Linked DNA regions of Macaca mulatta. The main gene of each other region encodes a partner of the protein of the gene in region 7 in a complex. Links are inferred from orthologs where the notes say so. Each region holds a gene or a part of one and is shown on either strand. Other genes may lie near its edges.

What was found.
Region 1: MED21 (region 7) and MED23 share a complex: the UniProt entries of both Homo sapiens proteins name them as parts of the mediator complex. The link is inferred for Macaca mulatta from reciprocal best matches to the Homo sapiens genes MED21 and MED23.
Region 2: MED21 (region 7) and MED31 share a complex: the UniProt entries of both Homo sapiens proteins name them as parts of the mediator complex. The link is inferred for Macaca mulatta from reciprocal best matches to the Homo sapiens genes MED21 and MED31.
Region 3: MED21 (region 7) and MED13 share a complex: the UniProt entries of both Homo sapiens proteins name them as parts of the mediator complex. The link is inferred for Macaca mulatta from reciprocal best matches to the Homo sapiens genes MED21 and MED13.
Region 4: the proteins of MED21 (region 7) and MED7 are in contact, whole or in part, in a cryo-EM structure (PDB 7EMF), measured with the Homo sapiens proteins. The link is inferred for Macaca mulatta from reciprocal best matches to the Homo sapiens genes MED21 and MED7. Residues at the interface, in NP_004255.2 of Homo sapiens: Asp3, Leu5, Thr6, Leu8, Gln9, Val12, Asn13, Leu15, Ala16, Phe19, Ile23, Ile62, Ala66, Ile69, Asp70, Ile73, Asp74, Leu76, Pro77, Ser78, Glu79, Ser81, Ala83, Gln86, Ser89, Leu90, Leu93, Glu96, Asn97, His98; in NP_001094286.1 of Homo sapiens: Phe72, Asp73, His74, Lys75, Leu78, Arg79, Asn82, Ile85, Leu86, Phe89, Leu92, Leu93, Leu96, Phe116, Val119, His120, Ile123, Asn124, Tyr126, Arg127, His129, Gln130, Arg132, Glu133, Leu135, Arg136, Met139, Glu140, Gln142, Lys143.
Region 5: MED21 (region 7) and MED8 share a complex: the UniProt entries of both Homo sapiens proteins name them as parts of the mediator complex. The link is inferred for Macaca mulatta from reciprocal best matches to the Homo sapiens genes MED21 and MED8.
Region 6: MED21 (region 7) and MED13L share a complex: the UniProt entries of both Homo sapiens proteins name them as parts of the mediator complex. The link is inferred for Macaca mulatta from reciprocal best matches to the Homo sapiens genes MED21 and MED13L.

What each region holds. Positions count from the first base shown.
Region 1 is NC_133409.1:36,667,873-36,671,914, forward strand, and holds the start of MED23 (mediator of RNA polymerase II transcription subunit 23), read right to left. Parts: upstream 2,801-4,042; 5' UTR 2,635-2,800; coding exon 2,596-2,634; exon of another isoform or gene 2,379-2,595; intron 2,247-2,378; coding exon 2,215-2,246; intron 2,058-2,214; coding exon 1,970-2,057; intron 1-1,969. UniProt on the Homo sapiens protein: Required for transcriptional activation subsequent to the assembly of the pre-initiation complex. Component of the Mediator complex, a coactivator involved in the regulated transcription of nearly all RNA polymerase II-dependent genes.
Region 2 is NC_133421.1:8,131,825-8,136,124, forward strand, and holds the start of MED31 (mediator of RNA polymerase II transcription subunit 31), read right to left. Parts: upstream 2,801-4,300; 5' UTR 2,701-2,800; coding exon 2,673-2,700; intron 1,887-2,672; coding exon 1,809-1,886; intron 1,529-1,808; coding exon 1,432-1,528; intron 1-1,431. Other genes in the region: C16H17orf100 (uncharacterized protein C17orf100 homolog), read left to right, coding at 3,085-3,462. UniProt on the Homo sapiens protein: Component of the Mediator complex, a coactivator involved in the regulated transcription of nearly all RNA polymerase II-dependent genes.
Region 3 is NC_133421.1:49,703,013-49,706,512, forward strand, and holds part of MED13 (mediator of RNA polymerase II transcription subunit 13), read right to left. Parts: intron 2,525-3,500; coding exon 2,062-2,524; intron 55-2,061; coding exon 1-54. UniProt on the Homo sapiens protein: Component of the Mediator complex, a coactivator involved in the regulated transcription of nearly all RNA polymerase II-dependent genes.
Region 4 is NC_133411.1:166,007,764-166,011,733, forward strand, and holds the start of MED7 (mediator of RNA polymerase II transcription subunit 7), read right to left. Parts: upstream 2,801-3,970; 5' UTR 2,742-2,800; intron 1-2,741. UniProt on the Homo sapiens protein: Component of the Mediator complex, a coactivator involved in the regulated transcription of nearly all RNA polymerase II-dependent genes.
Region 5 is NC_133406.1:196,875,935-196,880,231, forward strand, and holds the start of MED8 (mediator of RNA polymerase II transcription subunit 8), read left to right. Parts: upstream 1-1,497; 5' UTR 1,498-1,501; intron 1,502-4,297. UniProt on the Homo sapiens protein: Component of the Mediator complex, a coactivator involved in the regulated transcription of nearly all RNA polymerase II-dependent genes.
Region 6 is NC_133416.1:123,231,902-123,235,401, forward strand, and holds part of MED13L (mediator of RNA polymerase II transcription subunit 13-like), read right to left. Parts: coding exon 3,100-3,500; intron 2,594-3,099; coding exon 2,374-2,593; intron 927-2,373; coding exon 738-926; intron 1-737. UniProt on the Homo sapiens protein: Component of the Mediator complex, a coactivator involved in the regulated transcription of nearly all RNA polymerase II-dependent genes.
Region 7 is NC_133416.1:29,388,621-29,392,773, forward strand, and holds the start of MED21 (mediator of RNA polymerase II transcription subunit 21), read left to right. Parts: upstream 1-1,353; 5' UTR 1,354-1,386; coding exon 1,387-1,428; intron 1,429-4,153. UniProt on the Homo sapiens protein: Component of the Mediator complex, a coactivator involved in the regulated transcription of nearly all RNA polymerase II-dependent genes.

The DNA.
Region 1 (4,042 bases), on a different chromosome or scaffold from region 7:
AACTACCATCAGAGTGAACAGGCAACCTACAGAATGGGAGAACATTTTTGCAATCAACTCATCTGACAAAGGGCTAATATCCAGAACCTACAAAGAACTCAAACAAATTTACAAGAAAAAAACAAACAACCCCATCGAAAAGTGGGCAAAGGATATGAACAGACATTTCTCAAAAGAAGACATTCATACAGACAACAGACACATGAAAAAATGCTCATCATCACTGGCCATCAGAGAAATGCAAATCAAAACCACAATGAGATACCATCTCACACCAGTTAGAATGGCGATCATTAAAAAGTCAGAAAACAACAGGTGCTGGAGAGGATGTGGAGAAATAGGAACACTTTTACACTGTTGGTGGGATTGTAAACTAGTTCAACCATGATGGAAAACAGTATGGCGATTCCTCAAGGATCTAGAACTAGATGTACCATACGACCCAGCCATCCCATTACTGGGTATATACCCAAAGGATTATAAATCATGCTGCTATAAAGACACATGCACACGTATGTTTATTGCAGCACTATTCACAATAGCAAAGACTTGGAATCAAGCCAAATGTCCATCAGTGACAGACTGGATTAAGAAAATGTGGCACATATATACCATGGAATACTATGCAGCCAAAAAAAGGATGAGTTTGTGTCCCTTGTAGGGACATGGATGCAGCCGGAAACCATCATTCTCAGCAAACTATCACAAGAACAGAAAACCAAACACTGCATGTTCTCACTCATAGGTGGGAACTGAACAATGAGATCACTTGGACTCGGGAAGGGGGACATCACACACCGGGGCCTATCATGGGGAGGGGGGAGGGGGGAGAGATTGCATTGGGAGTTATACTTGATGTAAATGACGAGTTGATGGGTGCAGCACACCAACATGGCACAAGTATACATATGTAACAAACCTGCACGTTGTGCACATGTACCCTAGAACTTAAAGTATAATAATAATTAATTAATTAATTAATTAAAAAATAAATAAATAAATAACAAGAAAGGAAGGAACAAGTAACTCTTGGACTGATAGGGAATTACCTTTAGATTATTATTAGGAGAAAAAAGTGCTAATTAATTAACAGTGTACATGGTATATGATCATGCTATAAAAGTGTTTCTATACGCATAAAATACTTCTAGAAGAAAACATAACTTGAGGATATTGGCTAGAGACAGAAAAAAGAACAGGTAAGAGAAGAGAAAGAGACTAGTTATTGGATCCACCCTTTTTATACCTGTGCATTTTGAACCATATGAATGTATTACCTATTAGAAAATAATTAAACAAAAGGTTAAAACATGACTGTATTAGCATTATATGATCCATGTCTGAAGTGGCAAATCTTATCACCAGTGGCTGACACACAGTTCTCATTTCCCTACCCATAATACACCATGAGAAGGTAAGGCACTACTGGAATGTGAGCTCTTCAAGGATGACACATTTTGTCTTTTTCACGGATACATTTTCTGGTAGCTGTTCTTTGTTACTTTTACAGTTTGTTTCCTCATTTTTACTATAATATCTTCCTATCGTTATTATAGAATCTTGGTATTCCTATTGTAGCATCTTTGTATCAATGCTGTGCCAATTCCTTTATTAAGTAAAACAAATGGAATGTGTATCTTTGACAAGTAAAGCTTAACACATCTGTTTTCAAGTGTACCAAAAAAATCCGAATAGGATGAAAATGATCTTAATTAATCTAACATAGGGGAGTTTTTTTCTTTTTTTCAGCGTTGCACACTGTGCAGTATCAACTTGACTTCTCAACATAGGTTTTCTACCGAAATATACAAATTAAAACAAACGTAAGCCAGAATAAAAAATGATGACAATTTTATTTCTTCCTTCTCAGGAAGATCTTAAGAGCAACATCAAAGTAAATGTTAAAGGGAAAAAAAAAAAGAAGGGGGCAAAAATCATCAGCTGAATGTATTAAAAATGAAGTGCTCACCTGAGAAAGACCACCCCAAAACTGTCTGAAGGCACCCAAACAGCTAATTAGTTTTGTTTTCTCATCTTCAGGAGTATCCATAAACATGCTAAAAAAATAAAAATTACATTATTTGTCATTCGTTTTAAAAAGGTAATTACACACAATCAGAATAGTGGATCTTAGAACCTTCCAACACGAAACTAAGTAAAATCTGACAGATACAATCACATGAAAACACAAAAATCCGCCACGCATACACTCACCCAGGAAAAGCCTCTTCTATAACTTCCGTTTTCTGTAAAAAAAAAAAAAAAAAACAAAAAACAAAATGTAAACAATGTTAATTTTTAAAAGGCGCCTCCCTTAGCCAAGTATTACAATGTAACACAGGACAAGTCACCTTAATCAGCTCTGAAACTATCAATACCTGTCGGGCCTGTCACTGTATCGATTTCAAAGGATACAATGAACTTGACAGCAGTTTGAGAATCACTAAACCTCCCCGCACACAACCTCGATGTCAAAACAAGAGAATAAAAAGGGAAGCGTGAGACGAAGTTGCCCGGGCCAGCTTCCTTGGTCTGCTGCCCCCGCGTCTACCCGTCCCCGAGCCGTAGTCCTGGATGGCCGGCAGCTGCACTCACCACCACCTCTTCGAAAATGCTCTGCAGTTGCGTCTCCATCTGTACTATTACCCCCGCCTTTCCGGGGTGCCCGGTAAGGCCCGGGTCAGACCCGAGCTCTGGGAATATATGGGGCGAGGGTCGGAGACCGCCGGAGGAAACCGTAGCTCTCCGACGTCGCTTCCCTCCCCCAGTGCTTTACCGGGGAGCCTTCCCTCCGCAGCCCAGCCAACTGGAGGAACCTGTACGGAAGACCGGAAGGGCCCGGTACTCTCTGTTTGCAAACCCCGCAGAAACCAGCGGCGCCGCCAGACGGTTCCGTCTGTGGAGAAGGTCAGCCCGCAAGCCGGACGAGAGCGCCCCCAAACGGAACCTTGAGCCCAAGGACCCCGGAGGCGTGATCGACCGCAGGCCGCCACCTCCCGGCTGGAGAAGGAGTTGCTTCCTGCTCGGGACTAACCCGTTTGCAGACTGGGAAATGAAAAGCTTGAAACCCAGAGGCTGCAGCCTGCGGAAAATGCTGGAGCCGCAGCTGATGTCTGTGAGCAGCTGACCTTCTGGACCTCCATCAGCGGCCTGCAGCCAGGAGCTGAAGCCACAGAGACGGTGCTTGTCAGCTATGATAACCTCAGTGCAAATGTGATTGACTGACTTTTGAATGCCAAACCAATTTTGCTTCTATGGTATAAATGCTACTTGGTCATAATATATTATCCTTTTAAATGTATTGCTGGATTCTATTGGCAATATTGTTGAGAATACGTGTTTTTCTTCATATGCCACCGTCATCACCAACCCCTAAAACATCTGTTATGCCTTTTCGATGATCAGCTTTCTTTACCTCAAAAAGAAAATTGTTGATGAGAGTCATAGACATGCAAAGGGCCTTTCACTTCTTTGTGAAATGCCACAAACTGCTAAGCATGAACTACTCCTTTGTAGCTGCTAAGTGATGAGCTGATGAGTCCCCATTAGTGGTTTTGTTATACAAGTCTCTGACCTGGCATAAATTTAGTTTTCTAACAACTTTAACATGCACATGCAACCATCGTTGCCCACACAATAGCTACTAAAAGCTTAAAAGAAATAATTCAGATTCCCTGCTGGAGAAAAACTTGAAGAGTTAGGCTTCGTATATTGTTTGCTAGGGTTGCCATAACAAAATGCCACAGACTGGGTGGCTTAAACAACAGAAATTTCTTTTCTTGTAATTCTGGAGGCTAGAAGTCTGAGGTTGAGGTTGGTAGGGTTACTTTCTATAGAGCCCTCTGTCCTTGGCTTGTAGATGACCTTCTTCTCCTTGTGTCTTCACGTGGTCTTTCCTTTGTACATGGCTGTGTCCTAATTTTCTCTTCCTAGTAGGACACCAGTCAGGTTAGGGCCCATATAGCTACTCTAAAGAGCTTTAGTTCAGTTGAAGAAGTAGACATTTTAAACCGTAATATAGTGTAATATGTGCAATACTAGT
Region 2 (4,300 bases), on a different chromosome or scaffold from region 7:
GACTGAATAAAATGCCCAAAAGGGGCTAATCTGCAATCTCTCTTGAATGTAAGTATCTGGAAGGTTGTTGTCCTCAAGAGGGTATAGAATGGTTCTAGCTCAATCCAGGGACAACCAAGTTATCAAAATTAATGTCACCAGTAGTGGGACAAATAGACTTCATGTGACTGCAGATAGATGAAGGATAACACTACAATCAGACTAGAGCTACAAGGAGAGACATTATATCACAATATAAGGAATAACTTTCTAACATCTGGCTAACAATCAAATCAGCTGTCCCTGACAGAGTAACATGGGCTCAGTGAAAACCTCCAGAGTGTAGATGACCATCTCTCGGCAACGTTTTGGGTAAGATTAAACTTGTTGGTGGCTAAGGCTTCCAACACTGAGTCTGTAAATCTACATACATACAACATTTGTTGAAATCTATTTTTCTTAAAAGTCTTTTCTTTGGATTATTAAATGGATAAAAAGCCAGAAAAGGTGCAAAGGGTCCTGAAGGCAATATAAGATGTATATGCTTCGTGAGTCAATTGTTATTGGACACAGAAAAGTGACTTCGAAACAAGTTTGAAACATTTTCCTCTCAAACTTTTTTTTTTTTAAGGTTCACTATTGCTTTCTACCTGCTTAAGACAAAGCAGGGATGAGTTCAAGGTGTTTTTTTTTTTTTTTTTTTAATCATTAAAAGGGAATAGGTTTGTGGTTATATGCTTCTTGCAATTCAGTAAGCCTTAACACAAAAGTGTCGCTGAATGACCTGAATGGTAAATATATATATATATATATATAAATGAGTTAATGCATATGAAGCATTTAGCACTGTTTCTGGCACATAAGAGGCCTTAAATAAAAGATAGCAACTCTAAGACTCAGGTTAACATCACCTCCTCCAAATAACCCCAGAAACACCTTCCTTACAGATACCCTCTTTTAATTTCAGCCCATGGCTTATGTCACTTCATTTACAGACTGTGAGTTCTTCGGGACCAGAAACCTGGTGAGATGGGGAGGGTGGTGAAAGACAAGGTCAGACAAGGCAGGGCCAGATCATATAGGGCTTTAGCCCAAGAAAAGAGACTGGATTTTATTCTGCATGGTATGGAAAGTCATGGAAAGGTTCTAAGCAAGAAAGTAAAGTGTTCTGATTTATATTTTTAAATGACTAAGTTGGTTTCTGTGTAGAAAGCTGTTTTGCTTGGTTTGGTTTGGGGTGGGGGGGGGGCAGGAAGGTAAAAGTGGAAGCAGAGATAACCAGGGAGTAGATTACTGCAGTGATACAAGTTAGAGATGAGAGTGTCTTGTGTTAAGATGGTGACAACGAAAAGAAGTGGAGAGATTCCAAATACATTTTTGCCAATGTGAAACGAAGAAATCTATCATATCATAAAGTATACACATGCTTAGGATTATAAAAATTAAACTTACTTTAGATACTTGGCATATTCTGGGTCTTTCCAGTAAAGCAAGTATTTAAGATAATTAACAAAAGCTTTGTCTTTGAAGTAACCTCTTTGGGCAAGAACTGAAAAGCATTAAAAAAAAAAAATGTCTGTAGGTCAAACCAATCTTTAAACTATGCTTTGTTACCCCTAATGTAAAGGATCTATTTACATAAAACCCCCACCACCAACACACATTGAATTCAAAACACAAATCCCAGTGCGCAATTATATCTATATACCAGCATAAGTGTAATGTCATTCAATTGAGAATGTGTAAAAGTAGATACTATTTTGAATTGCAACTCTTCTGTCAGAAATCATTAGTAGCTACTCAATTTAATGAGGTGCTTAACAACTTACAATTAAGGTAATTTGGGTTGGCTAAACATTGCACAAATTCCAACTCCAACTGAAACCGAAGTCGATTTCCAGCATCATCTAGGAGACAAGACAGCAAAAATCATGGAAAGTAAGGGTCACTGTATATAATACTGATTTGTAGTAAGGAAACAGCAATAAAGAAACCTGACTAATGCCGAGATGGTCTTCCTAAACTGGGAGTTGGGGGAGATAAACCTTTCTTCGAAATCTAAGAAAAGCGGAGCCCTGATTAAAAGGAGTTAGAAGTTTCTCTAAAATTAAAGAGAAATCATCAAAGAAAGCAGCAACACAAACGGAGAATTCCTAAGATCACTAAGGTAGGCTGTAACAACTATGGCTTCCCCTATGTTAATAATGCGTTATAACAATTGTTAACAGTGATTAAGTTTTGCAAAAGCTACGTGCTGAATCAGTTAAGAAAAAGTTAGGATGCAAGAGACTGCGCAGAGCCTAAAAGATCATGGAGCGTATGCATATAAGAAGCACCAGTAGCAGAATGACACATAAAGTCCGGCGACGATATTTCAAACTTAGGCAAGCTCATGTGAGAAGCAGAAAACCAATCAAGGAGGAGACGGTTTAACACACAAGTCCTCTCCCTTAGTCTCACCCACGCCGGGGAGCTGGTAGGGTGGTGTCTGAATAGCAAAGATGTGCGAACAAACCAAATTAGGAAAACTGCAAAGAGTACCTTAGTCTTTCTAGACGCTACAAGAGCCTTCTCACCTCCTTGTCCAAATATTAACCCTGCCGAGAGTAAGGCCTGGAAGGAGGCCACGGGGAAGCCGTCTGGACCGAGGGGAGTTCCATCTGCGAAGACTCCAAGATCAGAGAGCTACTCACCTGTCTCCATAGCGACGGCAGCGGCCATAACAAACGAAGACACCAAAACGCCACCAGCCTGACCGAGCAAAAGCCCAGAGTGGCGGGGGAAGTTCCGGAAACCACGGCTCTCTCTTCCGGTCCCGGGGCACTGTGGGATATGGGGCCGGGCGGCTCCGCCCATCCCGCCAGCCCTGGGATGGCTCCACCCGCGCTGGCTCCAAAATAGCGAGGGGGCGGGGCCCGGGCCGTGGGAGCGCCTGAGGGGCAGGAGCCCAGTGTTTTTAGCCTTGGAAGGATCATGGTGTTTCCACGTCATCGTGTTGTGGCGCTCCCGGCTATGGCAGTACCGTAGTTTTCCTCTCTTCTGCCTGCGGTGACCGTTGGGCTGGGGGGTGCCCCGAGGCCTCCTTGGCCCCCTCACGCCGGCAGAATGGCCTCAGCCCGAGGGGCCAAGCAGTCTTCTCCCCGGGTGGGGACCACCCGCTACACAGAGACGTCCACAGTCCGCGTGGAGACCTCGTCCCACCGTGTGGAGACCTCGTCCCACCGCGTGGAGACGTCGTCCCGGCGGGTGGAGACCTCCCAGCGCCGCAGCGAGGGGCCCTCCCTCTCCCCCTTGGGGAAGCGGCTCCCTGGCATCCTCGAGGCGTCCTCCCGGCACGTGGAATCCTCCTCGCAGCGCACGGAAACGACGTCCCGCCACATCAGGGCCTCGTCCCTGAGGGTGGAGACGGCTCTGCACTGCGCGGAGAGCCCAGCCCCGCGGGCCAAGCCGGCCGCCCGCCAGAACGAAAAACCGGCCCGATGAGATGCTGCTTCCCAAAGGCCACCAAGGGGCCAGGGCCCTCAGCCAGGACAGAAAGGCCTCCAGTTGCCAGCCAGCCAGCCAGCTGCCAGGTGGACCAATCATTTTCGGTTTCATGGAAACAAACCATAAATCAATGGAAGAAACAGCCAAGCCGCAGTTTCTGAACACAGCCAACGTTTATTGACCATCCTGCGTCTTGGACCAGCCTACTTTTGACCCAGTGAACTATTTTCACTTGAAGCCAGCACAAAAGATTTTCATGCCCAGGATGCTGTCTAAATTGGCTTGATGGACAAAGAGGCTGTTTGAGCCTCTGAGCCAGGTGAGTTTGGGATCCACAGCCCTCAGAAGACCTTCACCCCTTAGGAACAGAGACCAAACTGAAATCATGACCTGTGGAATGATTCCATGCCTGCTAGAAACTTGAGGGGCAAGGAACAGACTCATAAATTATTAATGGCCTTTGTTTATGTTTCAAGGTAACTGGTGGTTTTCTTTATGCTAAGTCTTTGTACCTGGCACTCCCATCCATACACTTTTTAAAGGTAGGTTAGATGTAGTTAAAAATGACAGTAAACCCACCAGCAAGCAAAAATAATCTTAGAAGAGAAAGTGAGAGGAGGCCATTGAAACCTGGTCTGAGGTTTGAAGAAGATGGAGAAGAGTCATATTTATTGAGAACCTGCTCTGTGCCAGGTACTAGATGTTCCTCCACTTACAATGGGGTTACCTCCCATTAAAACTATTGTAAGTTGAAAATACGGTAATTTGAAAAGGCACTTAATATCCCTAACCTACTAAACATCATAGCTTAGCCTAGCCTACCTTAAACATGCTC
Region 3 (3,500 bases), on a different chromosome or scaffold from region 7:
ATCGCATGTGAATCACCATCTGTGGGGATTCCCACTTTATCCCGATCCATCGTGCTAAAATTTAAGGTAGAAATGAGACAAAAAGTTATACTGTATATGCTTGACGTAGCATATAAGCAGGTTCTTAATATCCCCCCTCCTCCCTCTTATTTGGTGAAAGGTGTGAGAAAGCCTCTCTGAAAATGAAGAACATTTCTTTCTCACCAAAGTTAACCATAAACATTGTAAATACAATTCCACAATGTATAAAGACACTTGCCTTAAGAGGTCTTGCCTTAAATTTACCAAAAAAGAAAAAGAAAAAAAAAGAAAAAAAGAATTCTTAAAACCATAGAGTATTAGATACAAAAGATTGCTTAGAGTTTAAGGGATAAAACTGAGACAAAGATAGGTCTCTTTGTCTGAGGCTATCTCAAATAGCTTCCCAAATTTATAAAGTTGGTTACAGGTAGAGCTAGGCCAGAAAGAAACCATGTTTCCAGAAACCACGTTTCCAGACTCATTCAATGTTCTAGTACGTTTTTAGACTATATATACATGTTTTTTTTTTGAGATGGGGGTCTCACTATGTTAACCAGGTTGGTCTTGAACTCTTGGTCTCAAGCAATCCTCCTGCCTTAGCCTCTCAAAGTGCCAGGATTACAGGCATGAACCACTTAATCTCGTCCTATTTTTAGACTATATACATTTATTTCATACTTTATAGCTTCAATGGTGAACAAGTTTCATTCTTTGATGGGTGATTTGATTTTTTTACACTTCAAATCTATTCATATGTTCAAGAGAGGTGGATCAATCTGGGTAATGGTTTGTTTTTACCCATGAGTGTAATTTTGGGCACAACTGCACCCTGGATAGCTGACAGATATAATTAAGCTCTGGTTAACCTAGCCTATAAATCAAAAGGGAAGATCACTCAAAACCTTCATCATAAAAGGAATGAGAGCTGTCATGATCATTCCTGTCACCATAAATAACTTGGAATCACTGTGTAAAGTACTTAATGTATATTATATCATATTACTCTCATCTTACACATAAGAAAACATGCTCAGAAAGTTAGAGTTTCCCCAAAGTCACAAAGCAGCTAAATGGCAGAGCTGAGATTCAAACTTTAGTACCCCTCTAAAGCCTCTGAATAGACTGGGTCAATAGTGACTTCTCAATCACTCGAGTGATTTGCAGAGGCAAATCTACTTGACAATTATGCCACAGAAGACTCAAATGTCATGTGGGCATCTGGACTACATGGTTTTCAAGCTCTTAATTCCCACCCTCAGATTCTAGAATTCTATGATAAAGATTTTATGAAGTAAAGTCCTCATTATAATTTTATACATAAAATATTCAACACTAGACCTGGTGCGGTAGCTCATGCCTGTAATCCCAGCACTTTGGGAGGCTAAGGCAGGCAGATCGCTGAGTCCAAGAGTTCCAGACCAGCCAGGGCGACATGGTGAAACCCCGTCTCTACAAAAAAGTAGCTGGGTGTGGTTGTGCATGCCTGTAAGTCCCAGCTACTCAGAAGGCTGACGTGGGAGGATCACCTGAGCCCAAGAGGTCGAGCCTGTGGTGAGCCGTGATCACGCACTGTACTCCAGTCTGGGTGACAGAGTGAGACCTTGTCTTAAAAAAAGAAACAAACTAAAATTTCAAGAATAAGATAAAAAGCACTTTATGTTCATTCAGAATGTCTTATTTACAAAAAAGCAGCATGGTTGGGCATGGTGGCTCATGTCTGTAATCCCAGCACTTTCGGAAGCCAAGGCGGGCCGATCACCTGAGGTCAGAAGTTTGAGCCTGGTCAACACGGCAAAACCCCATCTCTACTAAAAATACAAAAATTAGCCAGGTGTGGTGGCACATGCCTGTAATTCCAGCTACTGGGGAAGTTGAGGGAGGAGAATCGCTTCAAACCAGGAGGCAGAGGTTGCAGTGAATGGAGATCCCGCCACTGCACTCCAGCCTGGGCAAAAGAATGAGACTCTGTCTCAAGAAAAAAAAGAAAAAAGAAGTATCATAGTTTTCATATTTCTGCAAAAGCAGTATTTTTAAAGGTACCTTTCAGACACATCAGGATGCGGCTGAGTGGGAAGTGAAGATGATTCTCCAGAAATCCCAGCTGTCTGTAGAGTTGATGTCTGTTGCCCTCCTAGTTGACCACTCTGAACTGTATTTGCTTGTGTAGACATGGATCCTGCAGCATTACTGTTCATACTGCCAAAGGGTGGAAATGAAGGTAGTTTATTTGATGATACTCCACTATTCAAGTTGGAGGATGATGAAGATGAAGTTGAAGCTGTGGTCAAAGTTGAATTAGCTGTGGCAACTGAAGTAGATATGGCAACACCTGAAGTCATTGTCATAGTGCTGCTTGCTGCAGATGCTAAGGTGGCAGATGGAGTATTAGCATTTCCAGTATTTGTCATCTGAGGTGGAGTAATCAAAGACTGACTTGTAGGGGCAACTAAATTTGGCTGGGAAAGTAGAGAGCTGTCCAATGGCAGGGAAGCAAGATAAGGACCTAAAGAATAAAAACAGGTAGGAAATTTAATTCTTTATTTGACCGACTGGTTCTTTTTTTTATTCTACGTGTAAACAGAATCATAATCCAGTTGATGTTTTCTTGGTAATTATAGCCCCTAAATTGCTTGCTAATGGTGTGACCTACATTTGCTTTCTATTTTCCTCTAGAAACTGAAGAAACATATTTAAAATGGAATTGAAAAAGCCAGAATTTTCACTTAAAATTAAAGAAATGATTACTATGAAAGTGTAACAAAATTCTATTTTCTAAGTATAATGGAATGTAAAAAAAGGTATCTAGCAATATTCACCAAACTATTCAAAGGGTTTCTAAATCACAAATCAAATAAATATTGGCTACATTGGCAGCTAATTAAAATATAAAATGGTATAATGTTATCATGGCGTTCAAATTACAGGAATGTCTAACGAGATTCAATATTTTGGTTCTGCATCTCTTTGGATTAAGTCTACAGGAAGTCCACTGATATTTATTTCAAGAGTATTTATAAGCAATACAGTTGGGCATGGTAGAATGAAAGAAAAAAACGTATGTAACAAGTAAGTCTTAAACAGCTGTCATTTTCTTAGCTACAACAAAGAACTATTTCTTGGTTTGGTAGAGATTAACTATAAATTATTTTATCTCTGAACTGTAACAAATGAAGAATCTTCATGTTATTAAAACATCAGACCCTACAGAGGCAACAGAAAATTTATCTATAACCCGTAATTTCATCCTACCTGATGGGATCCCTCATTAGGGATTAGCAAACTTGTTCTGTAAAGGGTCAGATAATAAATACTTTCGTCTTTGCAACCACACAGTCTCTTTGCAACCACACAACTACTCAGCTCCAATGTTGTAGCACAAAAGCAGCCAGCGAAAATACATAAATAAATGAGGATGGCTGTGTTCCAATAAAATTTTATCTACAAAAACAGCTGGTGGACCAGGCCACATTTTGCCAACA
Region 4 (3,970 bases), on a different chromosome or scaffold from region 7:
CTACTCCTCCATAACCAAACTACACGTTGTCTCCCAATCTCATATCAGAATCACTTTTGCTTTATGTTACAGATTGATTTCCAATAGCAAACACTTACTTGTATCTCTCATAAACACTGACAAAATTAACACTGCTAAATCCTAAAGACATGGTATTATCCAAAGTTCCTGAATGAAATGATTCAGTTCCATATCCTTTTTGTCACAGTAAACTATGCAATTTTATATGGACACATTAACTTTTTTTTTTTTTTTTTTTTTTTTGAGACGGAGTCTTGCTCTGATGCCCAGGCTGGAGTGCAGTGGTGCGATCTCAGCTCACTGCAACCTCCGCCTCCTGGGCTCAAGCAATTCTCCTGCCTCAGCCTCCCAAGTAGCTGGGATTACAGGCGCACACCACCATGCCCGGCTAATTTTTGTATTTTTAGTAGAGACAGGATTTCGCCATGTTGGCCAAATTGGTCTCTTAATTCCCCACCTCAGGTGATCCGCCCACCCTGGCCTCCCAAAGTGCTGGGATTACAGGTGTGAGCCACCGCGCCCGGCCTGTATGGACACATTAACTTCCCTACAACTATCACAGAAATTTCAAACCCCAGGTTCAAACCCAGTATCTTCTATGGCCATAATAACCTCTACTTACTCTACCTTAAGCCTAGATATACCATCCAATGAGAAGATTCTGAAGTGCTCCTTTACACTGGTATTATCAAAGTTTCAAGATATAACACCCTCTAACATCAGGTGGGGCAAGTATTCTATTAGAAGCAATATTATACTTAGAATTCGTGAGGTACTAAGGGCAGGCGTGGTGCAGCCCTGAGTTTCCACCATGCCACAGTAGTGCATAGGATGATGCAGCCTCGACCTCCCAGGCTCAAGCCATCCTCCCACCTCAACCTCCCAAGCAGCTGGGAGTACGAGGCAAATGTCACCACGCCCAGCTAATTTTTGTATATTTTGTAGAGACAGAGTTTTGCCATGTTACTCCGGCTGGTTTTGAACTCCTGAGGTCAAGCAATCCTCCTGCCTTGGCCTCCCAAAGTGCTGGGACTACAGGTGTGAGCCACCACTCCCAGCCAACATTTTAAAACTTATAACATAAATTCAGATTACAGAAAAAGTGCATGAATATACAAAGAACACTTCATATTCTTCACTCAGATTCTCCAAATGTTAACATTTTCCTTCATTTGCTTTATTGGTTTCTCATTCCTTCACCCCTGAATACTTCAATGTGTTTTCCCAGGACAAGAATGTTTTCTTCTACCCACAGCACAATTACCAAAATCAAGGAATTAACATTGATCTGGTACTTCAAAACACAGTTTTTGACACCTTACGTTTCATTCCACTCAAACCTTTTTAGGTGAGGAGTGCTGCTCTGTACTTTCCTACACGATGTGCATTCCTGTACTTAGGTTGTCATTTTCCTAAGGCAACTACGTGACAGATACTGTTGTTTTATGGCCTCTCTAACATAATCTTCATAACAATTCTATGAATTAAGGTTGTTTGTTTTGTTTTTTGAGACAAGGTCTCAATCTGTCTCCCACGCTGGAGGGCAGTGGTATGATCAGGGCTCACCGCAACCTCTGCCTCCCGGGTTCAAGGGATTCACCTGCATGACCCTCCTGAGTAGCTAGGGACTACAAGTGTGTGCCACCACGCCCAGCTAATTTTTTATTTCTCGGTAAAGACAGGTTTTCACCATGTTGGCCAGGCTGGTCTGGAACTCCCGACCTCAAGTGATCCGCCCACCTCGGCCTCCCAAAGTGCTGGGATTATAGGCGTGAGCCACCACAGAGTCCCATGAATTAAGTTCTATTATCAATTTCATTTTAGAGGTGAAGATCCCAAGTCTCAATGAGGGGAAGTGTTGCCCCAGATCAAAAAGTTAATAAATGGTACAACAGGAATTCTTATCCCAGGTCCCTTTAGCTCCAAAGGGCAAGCTCTCTTATATCTCTAAGCCGTGAAGCATCTAATTGTACAATTAGAACTTGCATATTACAAAAATTATATTTTTCTCTACTGTCTCTCTAGATGGAACTTTTCAAAGGCGATGGAAGTCTTATTTTAATAAAACCAGAGCCAAGCATCATAACTGGTTCTTAGACTCAAGATCCAACATCTAGTGTTTGTTCTGGGGGAGAAGGCGCCTCACCAGAAGACGACAGATATTCCAGGGTCCCAGCCCCAGAGATTTGATTCATTCTGTCCACTGTGAATGGGCCCTGGTATGTCGCTTTAAAAACCTCTCCAGATGGACCTGACGATTAGGCTTGGTTGGGATCTACTGCCCTCGCCTGCCCCCGTATCTCAGCTGTTTCACAACTGCTCCCAGAAGAAGGAAGGGCAGGGAGGGCTACTCTCATGTTACAAAGGGCCAGAAAGGGCAAATAACTCGCCCAAGGCGACACAGCCTAGAAAAACAGCGGCGAGGGGACTAGACACCACGTCTCCCAACCTCCACTCCGGCTCGGCGTCCCCACACGGAGGAAGCCCTGGGACTGCAGCGCTAAGAGCCCCCTCCTCCAGGCTGTCCATCCCGAGACCTCCACGAGCGGCGGGGAGGCCGCGCTCTCGGAGAGACTCGGGACAGAAAGACGAGAGAGCGTCTTCGGAGGCCGAACTCCTCCATGCCTCCCCAGTTCCCAGCCCAGCACAGAGGAAACCGCGGGGTCCGGAAGAAAAAAACGCACACACGCGGGAGCCCCAAGCCGTTGCCGCCCACTCACCTCAACTCTGGCTTTACACTGGTAGCCGCCTTCCCCCTCTGCAGCCGAAACCAATTTCCGGTCTCCTCCTGGAAGAAGCCACCGACTCTGTCTTTGATTGGCTGTAGGAGCTGTCCTTTAACGAGATTCTAGATCCGCCTCAGACCGATCGCTCGCTATTGCGCCTGCGTATATTCGACTCCTGCCATCGCCACCCCTTTCACTGACTTTTAAAAGTAGTAGGTGAGGGTTGTTTCTTCGTTTCTTTAAGGCATAAAATTAAACAAGACATCTTATTGCTTTATTTTTTATAGACCCCTTATTGACTAGAAAAAATCTTATATTTTGCCGGGCGCGGTGGCTCAAGCCTGTAATCCCAGCACTTTGGGAGGCCGAGATGGGCGGATCACGAGGTCAGGAGATCGAGACCATCCTGGCTAACACGGTGAAACCCCGTCTCTACTAAAAAAAAAATACAAAAAACTAGCCGGGCGAGGTGGCGAGCGCCTGTAGTCCCAGCTACTTGGGAGGCTGAGGCCGGAGAATGGCGTGAACCCGGGAGGCGGAGCTTGCAGTGAGCTGAGATCCGGCCACTGCACTCCAGCCTGGGCAATAGAGCGAGACTCCGTCTCAAAAAAAAAAAAAAAAATCTTATATTTTAATATGTAACATGCTCTTGTAAGACTTCCATGAATTTAGACATTTATGACGTGAAAATAACCTCCCAAAGAAAACCTAGCAAAGGTTGTTCGTGTGTTCCACCCGCTGCCCGCATTACAACTCTTCTGCTGACAGTCGCAGCTGGTAGTTCCATTCCTTTTGTCTTTTCTTTTTTAATTGAACCCATACAATGAAGACATCTTACATAAAAATTCGAAAATATAGATATGCAGGGTTTTTTGTTGGTTTATTTTGTTTTATTTATTTATTTATTTTCTTTGAGACGGAGTGTCTTTCGCCCAGGCTGGAGTGCAGTGGCGCGATTTCGGCTCGCTGCAACCTCTGTCTCCGGGGTTCAAGCGATTCGCGTGCCTCAGCCTCCCAAGTAGCTGGGATTACAGGCATGTGCCACCACACCCGGCTAATTTTTTTTTTTTTTTTCCTTTTTTTGTATTTTTAGTAGAGACAGGGTTTCACCATGTTGGTGAGGCTGGTCTCGAGCTCCTGACCTACAGTGATCCGCCCGCCTTGGCCACCCAAAGTGCTGGAATTACGGGCGTGAACCACGTAGCCCGGCCTCCCCCATTTTA
Region 5 (4,297 bases), on a different chromosome or scaffold from region 7:
GGAGATCAGGAAGTCTGGGAGTAGCTGGAATTCTACCAGCTGCTGCCCTCTAAGGGGAGGGGGGGTGAAAAGGTGACAGTTCTTACAAACCCCTGTGTGTACGACTCAAGCAGGTGGAATGAAAATGGAACTAGGCATGTGCTGCTGAAACTGAGAGTAAGATGGTATGGATAAGCTTTGGAGCTCAGGGGTATAGGAAAAGTTTTAGTACAGCTGCTCTAGAAACAGGAAAGGAAGCTGATAAAGGAAATGGAAAAGGCAATATTGCCAAGTACTAAATAGGGCACAGTCTGAAACTGGGAGAGGAGTGTGGTTCGCCTTTCTATCGAGTCTCAAATGAAAGACCGCCCAATCAGAGACAGATGGGCAGACCTGGTCAGAGCTTGGTATCAGTGGGACATTTTCAGGAGGACAAGGGGGTAAAGGCATGGAGGCTGCTACTGAAAGAAGCCAGCCTGGGTGAATAGGAATGGAAGGGAAGTCAGCCAGGGCTGAGCACTGGAAGAACAGGGAAAGCAGAAAGCCAGCAACCCAGAAGAGGTCGAGGGCAGGGACCTGCAGGTGGCATGGACCTGTGCAGCACAGCAGACAAGGTATGCGTTTGAACCAGGCCACCATGGTGCTAATCCGGGCTCCGCTGTTTTTTCCACTACGTAACTTTGGGCAAACTACTTAATCTTGCTGAGCCTTAATTTCCTCATCTGTAAAAAGAGTAATACAAAGATCAAAATCTCTTATTTGAGCCCCCTCAAACTAGATAGTATTAGAATCTCAAAGTGTTCAGATTTTAGGAAAGCAGTATACTGCACAAACCATATATTATTTAACATCCCCCTATGAGGTTTGGGGCAGCATCCTGTAATTAAATGTTAATATTTCTTCTATGAAATGAATCTTTACGCTAGAAGGAACTATAAATACATTCATACCATTTCAGGTCAGATTTTACTGCCAAATGAATTCTGACACTTACCTTTTAAAAAAAATGTTTAAAGATGTTTCAAGTTCATATGTGCCATATTGGTGGACCATTAATAGAACCCACCTCATAAGGCCATGTCACGAGGATTAGATGACCAAATTAACATTAAGCAGTGAACACAGTGCCTGGCATGTAGTTACGTCCTCAATACATGCTGCTGTTAGTGTTTTTCTCATCAGCATCATCACTGTTGATGACAGTGTGGCTGAAGTAAAAGGGGGACTGATAAGTGGGGAGGAATATAGAGAGGGAGAAACACAGTGAAAATAAGGCAGAAAAGCAGACCAGATGGGGTTTTGAATACCAAGTTAGGAGTTTGGATTTTATTGAGTAGAAGCAGACAGAGCAGAGAAAAAGACTATAAATTTTTCAGAAAATCAATGATATCAACAGATTTTTGCTTCAGAAAAACCATTCTAGTGGCAGTGTGAAAGAGCGCAAGGAGGCTAAGACCTAGCAGGAGAGCTTTGTGGTAAGCCAGGTGACAGATGATGAGGGTCTCACATGAGGCTGTGGGGGGTGGGATGAAATTCAAAGGGAGAACGGACAGGATTGGGAAACTGATCGGGTGTGGGATGGTGAGGACTAAGAGAAAATACTATCACAGAATATAAGGGAGTAGAAATATTCCAGAAATAGATGGGCAGTAATAATGTTAAATGTAGCAAAAGAAAGAAGAAGATAAGGTGTGGAAAGCATTCTCTGGGTTTGGCAATTAGGATGCTACTGGCAATCTCAGGAAGAGCAGGCTCAGTTGACTCCGTGAGAATGGAAGCCACACGTTATCAAATGTCATAGAGCAGCCAGTAAAATACAGACTGAAAAAATAGGGGTTGAATTCACTAACAAGGAGGTTTTCAATGACCTCTGACATTCATTGCAGTTTGACTTAATGAAGTATTATGGGTAACCTGCAAACCGCAGTGGTTTGGTATAGGGATGGGAGAGTAAGGAATAGATTGTCCAGTAGATTGGTTTTCTCTATGAAATGGGAGGTGATCACTGGCTGTGGGCATTGGGAGGGAAGGAACTAGTTTTCCAGTTTGAAATAGGAGATTTCAATTGGGGCTGAACGACTTTCTCTGTAAGTGGACAGTAAATATGTTAGGCGTTGTGGGCCATAGCCTGTCACATATCCTTCTGTGCTTTTGTTCTGTTTTGCTCAGCAACCCTTTAAAAATGTAAAAATTTGTTTGTTTGTTTGTTTGTTTTGTTTTCTTTTTTGAGACAGCCTTGCTCTGCCACCCAGGCTGGAGTGCAGCATCGTGATCTCAGCTCACTGCAACCTCTGCCTCCTGGGTTCAAGTGATTCTCGTGCCTCAGCCTCCCTAGTAGCTGGGATTGCAGGTGTGTGCCACCACGCCCGGTTAATTTTTTGTGTTTTTAGTAGAGTGGGGGTTTCACCATGTTGCCCAGGCTGGTTTCAAATTCCTGGACTCAAATGATCTGCCTGCCTCCCAAAGTCTCCTAAAATGCTGGGATTACAGGCATGAGCCACTGCACCTGGCCTAAAAACACAAAAATCATTTTTAAGCCAGACCACACAAAAATAAGCTCTTGGATAGATCTGGCATAGGAACCAGAGTTTGCTGACCTGATTTAGATTACTCCCCTTTCAAATCTCCCCAAGTGACAGAAACGACTGCATGTTCATTGTAAAGCAGAAGCACCCAGGACAAAGACAGAAGAGACACAAAACTGGAAACCAAGTAGACAAGTGGAAGTCAGCAAACTCAGGAAAGCTGAATCCTGTGCTGGTAGTGGGAAAAGTTGAACTGAACGTGAAATATATCACAGAACTCCCCAAAGACTCAATCACTGGCAGCATCAGGTACCACTAGTAGAGGGAATGAAGATGATACTGAAAACAAGATTCCCGGTTTCTAAACATGAGCAGGCAGCCAAGATCATGAGGCATTAGAGGAAAGTATTTTATATAAAGACAGGAGACCAAAACAAATGAAATCTAAATGCAACATTGAAAAACTGAAGAGACTCAGGGGGATGAAAACTCAGGAAAAAAAAATCATTAAACTCCTCAGAGAGAAGACATTTTACTCATGAAACAGGTAGAGGATATCATAAAAAATATATTTGGTGAACAAAAAGAAAAAAGTTACCCTGGAAAATGAAACACATAATAGCAGAAATAAAAAGGGCTGGAAAAGGAATTGGAAAAGTTAAGGAAATTTCTCACAATATAGAACAAAAAGATAGAGATGGAAAACGATTAAGAAAATATTTTTAAAAGATTAAAGGACAAGTCCAGAAAACATGACTTCTGAATATGGGAGTTCTAGAAAGAAAGAATAAGGGGAAAAAATGAAAAGGCGAAAATGCTGAAAAGAATAACTCAATAAAGCTGTCCCCGAACTAAAGGTTTTGAGTTTTTTGTGCTTAAAAGGGTCCTCTGAGTGTCCAGCACAGTATGAAAATAGCTCTCCATCAAGGTACATTATCGTGAAATTTCAAATTTCTAGAGAGAACAACAAACAGACTTTATATAAATAATTAAAAATCAGAACAGCATTAAGACTCCTCAAGCAGAACACCAAAAGCCTAGAATACAATGGGGACAGTACCCTCAAAATACTGAGGAAAAATGATTTCCAACCTAGAATTCCATACGCAGCCAGACTATCAATTAAGTGTGAAATCAGAATAAAGACATTTTCAGGTATGTTCTCAAAAAATTACTTCTCATGTATCCTTTCTCAGGAAATTAGTACAAGATGTGTTCCATTAAATGAAGAAGTAAAAAAATATGGGGCCCAGGAAATGAGATATACCACAAGAGGATGGTGACAGGGACTTCAAGACCACAGATGTTTGGCTACACAGAGAGCAAACCACCCAAGGAGAGCATGCAGAGGCTCCCAAAGAGAGTTCTTCAAGAAAATGAAGCTGACAGACAATCTAACATGTCTGAATATATGGAGAACGATTTATACAACTGGAGAAGAGTTTAGGGTTGAATTAGTGACAAATACACAAAAAACTAAGGAAAGTAAAAAGCAAGACTTTTACTGACTTCAGGAAAAACAAAACATGCAGTGAAAAACTAGTAATCATGGTATCTATGAATAGTGTTTCTATGGTCATGGTATATAGATTCAATATTGCTCTAACTATATTAGGAGAATTGGAGGATAGATTGCATGGCTATGGTAGAGGAGTGGTGAGTGTGACAGAGTATTAAATATTCATCTTCCATTGAAGAAAGTCAGTAGGTAATACTCAAAACAGAAAAATCAAGAACTGGCAACATACTCTTGTTATTAGAGATTCAGTGGTTAAAAACCAAACAAATTAGCT
Region 6 (3,500 bases), about 94 Mb from region 7:
AAGTATGTGCATCAGAAAATGAGGGCCCCCTGCAGAGTAAACACAACTACAACTGCTGTCTCAGGATACAGACCAGAGCCAGAAAATGCAAAGGATTTCTGATCTAAGACACAGAGTAGCTTAGAAAAATAAAGAAAATAAATTTAGAAAATTCAAACATTAAGAACTAAAAGTGATACATATATTATTGCCTAAAGTCCTACATTAAAAAAACAGTAAGAATTTGCTTGCCTCTTTTCTCAAAAATTCTTAAAAGTTCAGAGAAATATCTCCTCTATTTAAATCTAAGAGTTAAAGAAATCTGCCAACTCTTTTTCATTCCCTGCTTGAGACAGGGTCTTACTCTCCAGGCGGAAGTGGTTGTGTGATCACAGCTCACTGCCATCTCAAACGCCTGGGCTCAAGTGATCCTTCCGTCTCAGCCTCCCAAACAGCCAGGACTACTGGCACACATCATCACTGACACCTGGCTAATTTTTTTTAAAAAAATTTGTGGAGACGGGGTCTTGCTATGTTGCCCAGGGTGGTCTCAAACTCCTAGGCTTAAGTAATCCTCCCACCTCAGCCTCCCAAAGTGCTAAGACTACAGGCGTGAGCCACCACATCCAGCCTAGCAACTCTTATATCAAGGTAGAAGGCCAACTAAGCAACCAGCCAATCTCTAGGTTAGATAAAATACCTCTCCTAGCTTGCATTTTAGTATAAATTTTCTAAGTTCCTGTCCTGCCAATACCCACCTCAGGGTTCTTGAGGGTCATCTCAATGCTGGCTGCAGGCCCAAATCCCGTGAGGGATTTAATGTGGATCTGTGTAGGCAATGGTCGCCTGCACTGGCAGTACACTGAAAATGCCATGGACTTCAAGTATTGAATGTAGAAAACTTGCTCATCCTTCATTGTCTGCAGCATGTACTGGCAAGGCACAATCTAAAGACACAAATACAAAAAACAAAACAAAACCAAAAACCTAGAAACTGAGATCTAACACGCTAACAAGCAAGCTGAAAAAGGAAACGGCATGAATTCCTTACCACAATGGGGAGAGGTAACCTCAGCCCTAAAATATATCAGTGTCACACATAATATAATTAAATCCTAATTCCTTCCACTGACATAAAATTCTCTATCACCAGCAATTTCGAAAGATGTACGATTATATGGGTCAAGTTATACTGTCACTTAGAAACTACCATGTTCCCATTTTAGAGGTAAGATCTCAATTTATTACAGGTATTACCATGGCCCCCAAATTGTATTATATTTCTCCTTTTTATAATTACACAGTGTGTGTGGCATTTTTTGGAATTATTACCTAATCATTTAGGATACAGACTTCAAAACAATGGAAAACTATCAGCAATGTACTCTGATAACTTTAATTTCAATCTTTTAATTTTACAAGATAGCTTCAGTTAAAGTGACATTAAAATGAAACCCAAACATCCGAAGCACTGTTTTTCATCTATATAGAATTTTTAAAAAAATCATTACACTATAAAGCTGTCAAAGGGGCAGTGAAAATAAGCATACTCATTCACTGATGAAAGGAAAGTAAGTGTAATCTCTTTTGGAATGGAATTTGGCAATATGTGTCGCATCTACATCTAAGAACCCATGTTAAAAAATGACCTGAAATGTGAAAAATAAGATTATACATAAATGTGTACTATGGCTTTATTTATAACAGTAAAGAAGTGGAGATATAGGAATGGCTATGGAAAATATGCAGTCATTAAAAATGCTTGTAAGAATTTAAATAACATGAAAATGTATTCATGAATAACATTAGATAGAAACTAAGTTATATTAAAAGTATGATCTCAACTGTGTAAACAAAAATAGAAAAACAAGCTAGAAAAACACCAAAATGGTAATGGTGGTTGAATGTAAAAGTCAGAATTATGATTATTTTTTCTTTTATACTTTCGGGTACAGGTTGAATATCCCTAATCAAAAAATCTGAAATCCAAAATGCGCCAAAACTCACAATTTTTGGAATGTCAATAAAACGCCACAAGTGGAAAATTCCGTATCAGACCTCATGTGATGTGCTGCAGTCAAATTTAATCAAAACTTTGTATAAAGCACAAAATTATTAAAAAAATTGTATAAAATTACCTTCAGGTTAAGTGTATAAGGTGTATATAAAACACAAATTTTATGTTTAGACTTGGGTCCACTGCCAAGGTCTCCCATTACATATATGCAAACATTCCAAAATCAGAAATCCAAAACACTCTGGTCCCTAGTATTTTGGTTAGAGGATAATTAACCTGTACTTCTATTTTTTAAGAAAAACCATAAGCCTGTATTTATTTTCACAACAACAAAAACATCAACATCAAAAGTAAATAATAAACTTGCAAACAGTAACCTGGAGAATGAAAGAACTTCTCATATGCTCAGGTAAATTATCCAGCATTTCTGTGTAGCAGCGCATCAAGCTCAACAGCCAAAAGTTCCCAGAAGTGGAGTCCTCCTCCGCAGCATAAGTGAATGGGTCTACCATGTAAATGACAACGGCTGGAGGGTGGGCATGGCTGTCTGCAGAGTCAGGCTCCGTGGGAATTCCTATTCTCTCCCTTTCTGTAACACTGGCAAGAGAGTCACTTGTGAGACACACAAAATAAACATAAATTACATGAGTATGAAAAACAAAAGTGCTCAATACTAGAGCACACAGGCTCCCTAAAGAATATTTACAGATTAAATGTAAGAGTAACATGTATCACCTTACCAAAATACAGGCAAACCAAGCCAGAGAGCATTGAAAGCAGATGGAAAATGGCAATGTACTCCTCTAAAATGGGAGATATCTTTTTCAAACTCCCCTTTCTTTTCTGTGGTTATGTTGTACAAAGTTGTTATTAAGTTGATTGTAAGTTTAATAATAAGGTTTATAAGTCATAATAATTTATAAGAAGTCTCAAAATTTTAACACTGCAGCTTTAGATTGACCATTACCCCTTTCTTTTGAGAAGAAGAGAAATAGAGCACTTCATAGGATTCAGAGAATCATGAGGTCAAGGGAGAAAAGGTGCGGAAGAAGAGAGAAAGGGTCTGAGCTGAGGCCACTCGTCTCAATTAGTGAGTAACATACCTCTCTTGTCCATCCTGTGAGGGCTGAGAAGAGCTCTGCCCAGGGTCAGTGTCTCCGCCACAGCCTATGCTCCCTTGAGTTCTATCCGTAGAAATGCCCCCAGTGCTGGGGTTCTGCCCTCCAACACTACCACTGAATCCTGAAGAAGAGGTAGTGCTTATCTGGCTAATACCAGGAGCAGAGGCAGACGATGAGACCGGTGGCACAGAGGAACCAGATGCGGAACTACTTGCTGCAGGATTTGTAGTACTACTATTCGAGGTGGGGTTAAATGCACTGCCAGCTGGGGGAGCTGCTGATCCATTTGGAGCTAAGGGCCCAGCATTCCCAGGCGTAGCCTGTCCCTGTGCCGCTGCTGGTGGGGTCTGGTATTTAGGTGGTATCAACAGGCTGCTATCAAG
Region 7 (4,153 bases):
AATCAGTCACCAATCCGTATTAATTATTTTTCTCAAAAATATATTTTAGTCTTTTTTTCCTCTCTTATCAGGGTCAACCAACACCCTATTCTAGGCCCAGCTCACCTTAATCTTGGACAACTGCAAAACCTTCCTCTTGGTGAGTCCTTGGCTTATTCATCTTTGCACACTGAGCACTGGATATACTTCCTGGCATGTGGCAGGCATTCAGTAAGGTACACGCTCAAGTGAAGGTGGGAGGAAAAGGTTGTAGATTCCCCCAAGTTACAGTTAGAACAAATTATGGAGTGATTTCTCATTAGTTCCATTATGGGGAGCATGCCTCATCCACGTTCTTAATGAGGCCCCAGTAAGTCTGTAGACTGTTTGGGGATGAGGGTGGGGCATGGGTGTGAAGCAGAAGTGGTGCTTCCCAGCAAGGGTTGGGATAAATCCAGCAAGCTGAGTTCCCCGGGGACTGTGTCCACCACCTACCCCGCAGCCGCAGGAAGGTAATCACGGATAATCAACCTGAGAAAGAGGATATGAGAGTTTGTTTGATGTCTCCAAACCTGTTATTTGCCGACTCCAAACTCATTTCTTACCAGACTATCCTCAGGCTAAATTTCCTTAAATACCAAGTTTCTATTATCACTCTTCACACTTAATCTCTCAATAAGTCCCAACTCTAAATCTAAATTGTGCAGCTGATTTTTCTTGGCCGGGCGCGGTGGCTCATGCCTGTAATCACAGCACTTTGGGAGGCCAAGGAGGGCGGATCACGAGGTCAGGAGACGGAGACCATCCTGGCTAACATGGTGAAACCCCGTCTCTACTACAAAAAAAAAAAAAAAAAAAAAAAAAAAAAAAATTTAGCCGGGCGTGGTGGCGGCGCCTAAAGTCCCAGCTACTCGGGAGGCTGAGGCAGGACAATGGCGTGAACCCGGGAGACGGAGCTGGCAGTGAGCCAAGATCGCGCCACTGCACTCCAGCCTAGGCGACAGAGCCAGACTCCGTCTCAAAATAAATAAATATATCTACTCTTCAATGTAGTCAATAAGTAAACACATGAGAGGATAGGAGAAATCACTAAAAAAAAAAAAATCCCCGCTGAATCCAACAATCTCTGAAGCCTTTAACACCTAACAACCTCAAAGAGAGTATTTCAGCCCCTCAAAGCGATGGACCCCAGGCCGCTCCCCAGTTACTCAAAAGATCCAGCCTCTCCTCTGGTGTAGCCCGCTCTAAGGCCGCCTCGGCAGTACCACCCACTCCTGACGGGGCGGGGAGTTCTCTCCGACCCCACCCCTTCCAAGAAGGCAGCGCTGGGATTGGCCATGACGCGTACCAGAGCTGCCCAGTCGCGGAAGAGCAGCTGTTTTGGCGTCTGTTTGCTGCAGGAAGAACATGGCGGATCGGCTCACGCAGCTTCAAGACGCTGTGAATTCGGTGAGGAATTTCATTCGATTAGCCTCTGTCTTTCTCTTTCCTGAGGTAAAGCAAGGGAGAAAAGGGGCCCAAGAGGCAAAACTTGGAAGTGGAAAGCGGACTGAGAAACAGGGCTTCGGCATAAAGCGCTCTCTCGGGAGGCGCCACCGCGAACTCGGAGGTGTGAGGCCGGCTGCCGGGCGGTGCTTGAAGGTGCGGGAGGGAGCAGCCTCTTTCGCTTGAGGAGACCGGGAAGATTGCTCTTGTCCGGGTGGGGCCGCCAAGACTTGTCGGCTGCGCGGTCCTGTCGTATTCCCTGAGGACAGTTTTATTTTCTTGGCAGCGGTGCTTACGGGATCTCTTTTGGGGGTTGGGAGGAGAAGCAGGAGCTCTTTTCTTTCCTCATCAATTTGAATCCACCAAGGGAGATCTCGTGCTGTGGATGACTGGGTTTTTGTAATGAAATGCCAGCCGAGAGTATTCCTTCACCAGCGCTTTCAGGTTGGTGCGGAGCGACGCTGAGGTGAGAGATTTTCTTTCATCTTCGCTCCTTCCTGTGGGCCCAGAGCCTCCTTCCATCTCTTGTCTCTTGGCCACCCCTCAGAATGCATCAGTTTGGGGACATCTTTATGATAGGAAATCTTCTGATTCTCGTATGTCTTTCCGTTTATTTGAGTCTTTCTTTTTTCTTTTCTTTCCTTTTTTTTTTTTTTTTTTTTTACTTTGGAGACTGTGTCTGTCGCCCAGGCTGGAGTACAGTGGTGCCATCTCGGCTCACTGCACCCTCCGCCTCCGCCAAACAAGTAGCTGGGATTACAGGCGCCCTCCACCACGCCCGGCTGATTTTTCTATTTTTAGTAGAGACGGGGTTTCACCATGTTGCCCAGGCTGGTCTCGAACTCCCGGCCTCAAGCGATTCTCCCGCCTCGGCCTGCCAGAGTGCTGGGATTACAGGTGTGAGCCACCGTGCCCGGCTTACAAGTCTTTTTTAACGTCTCCCCCAAATTCTACGCTCTATTAAAGGCCAAGTCTTGTAGGTAGCTCCCCAGCTTTGTTCCTTCTGGTAATTTTTCCTCCAAGCTATGCCTGAGTGGAAAGCAGAAGCAAAGCCAGAGGATGCGCATACAGTCATGGGCCCTTAATGAAGGGGTTATGTTCTGAGAAATGCATGGTTTCGGCGATAACTTTTTTTTTTAATAAGTAGAAGTACAATGTATAATAACGAGGAAACAGTAAATACATAAACCAGTAACAAAGTCATTTAGTATCATTATCAAGTATCATGGACTGTACTTAATTGTATGTGCTAGACTTTCATACACTGGCAGTGCCGTAGGTTGCTTTACAGCAGCGTCACCACAAGCACAGACCGCTATGATGTCACTAGGCAGTAAGAATTTTTCAGCGTTGTTATAACCATAGGGGACCGACATAATATATGCATCCCGTTGACCAAGACGTCAGTGGGTATTCTCTTGCTGCAATGGGTATACTTATTACCATTACCAGTTACATAGTTTTCTGTTAAATAGTTTTCCATTGATAGTTATGTTTCTCATTGTCTGATTGTGATTTAACGTCCTAGATGAGGGGCTAGAGAGAAAACATGCTGAGAGGAAAACCTAAGTACCTGGTTTCTTTGCCAGTTTTTTTTCCTCACTGTAAGCTAATAACTTGGCATTTTTCTTAATACATCAGGCTTTGTACACTTGAAGAGTGTGAATCTACTTGTGATAAACTGATCTACCCTGGGTGAATAACACTAGTTTTTAAGGCTGAGAGGACCAGCTTCTAAATGTTGAATTCACCAAGATAAATTCTGCCCTGCAGGGACTTGCCTGAGCTGCCAGTCAGCCTTCCTCAGGGAACTACTCCTTTGAGATTTTACAAAATCAAATTGTAATGATGCTGCTGGATAGAAATCTTATTTTAGGGAAACTTTTGCATATTCATACATGTCTTGTAACTAGAAGGATAGTAAGGACAGAGTGAATATGGCCTTAACTCCAGGTTAGGCATGCTGATAATTGGATTTTGGAGAAAAGCCTTTAGGATAACTAGTATGAGTGCCTACTGTGTATAAGCACTATCATGTTTGCAAAGAGATACTCCTTAAGGAGGTTAAAAAAATGTCATATACTCAGGAGACATTTAAGTGATGGAAAAACAGTATGTGGTTAGGGAGTTATAATGAATTGAGTATTTTCAGCTTTAGGTTCTGAAGTAAATTGGAATATGGAGTGATGTGAACCAAAATAGAGGGAATCTTCTTAGCATTTATCCTAATCAGATTTGTATAACTTTTAACATTTGTTCTACCCTCTGAAAACCATGAGTGCAGAAGCTATGTCGCATTCACTATGTCTCTATAGTGTTTAAATGTAGTACTTGTCATAGTTATTTTCCATAAAGTTTTGTTGACTAAATGGATCTTAAAAGTTTTTTTTTTTTTTTTTTTGAGACGGAGTCTCTCTGTGTCGCCCAGGCTGGAGTGCAGTGGCCGGATCTCAGCTCACTGCAAGCTCCGCCTCCCGAGTTTACGCCACTCGCCTGCCTCAGCCATTCTCCTGCCTCAGCCTCCCCAGTAGCTGGGACTACAGACGCCCGCCACCTCGCCCGGCTAGTTTTTTGTATTTTTTAGTAGAGACGGGATTTCACCGTGTTAGCCAGGATGGTTTCGATCTCCTGACCTCGTGATCCGCCCATCTGGGCCTCCCAAAGTGCTGGGATTACAGGCTTGAGCCAC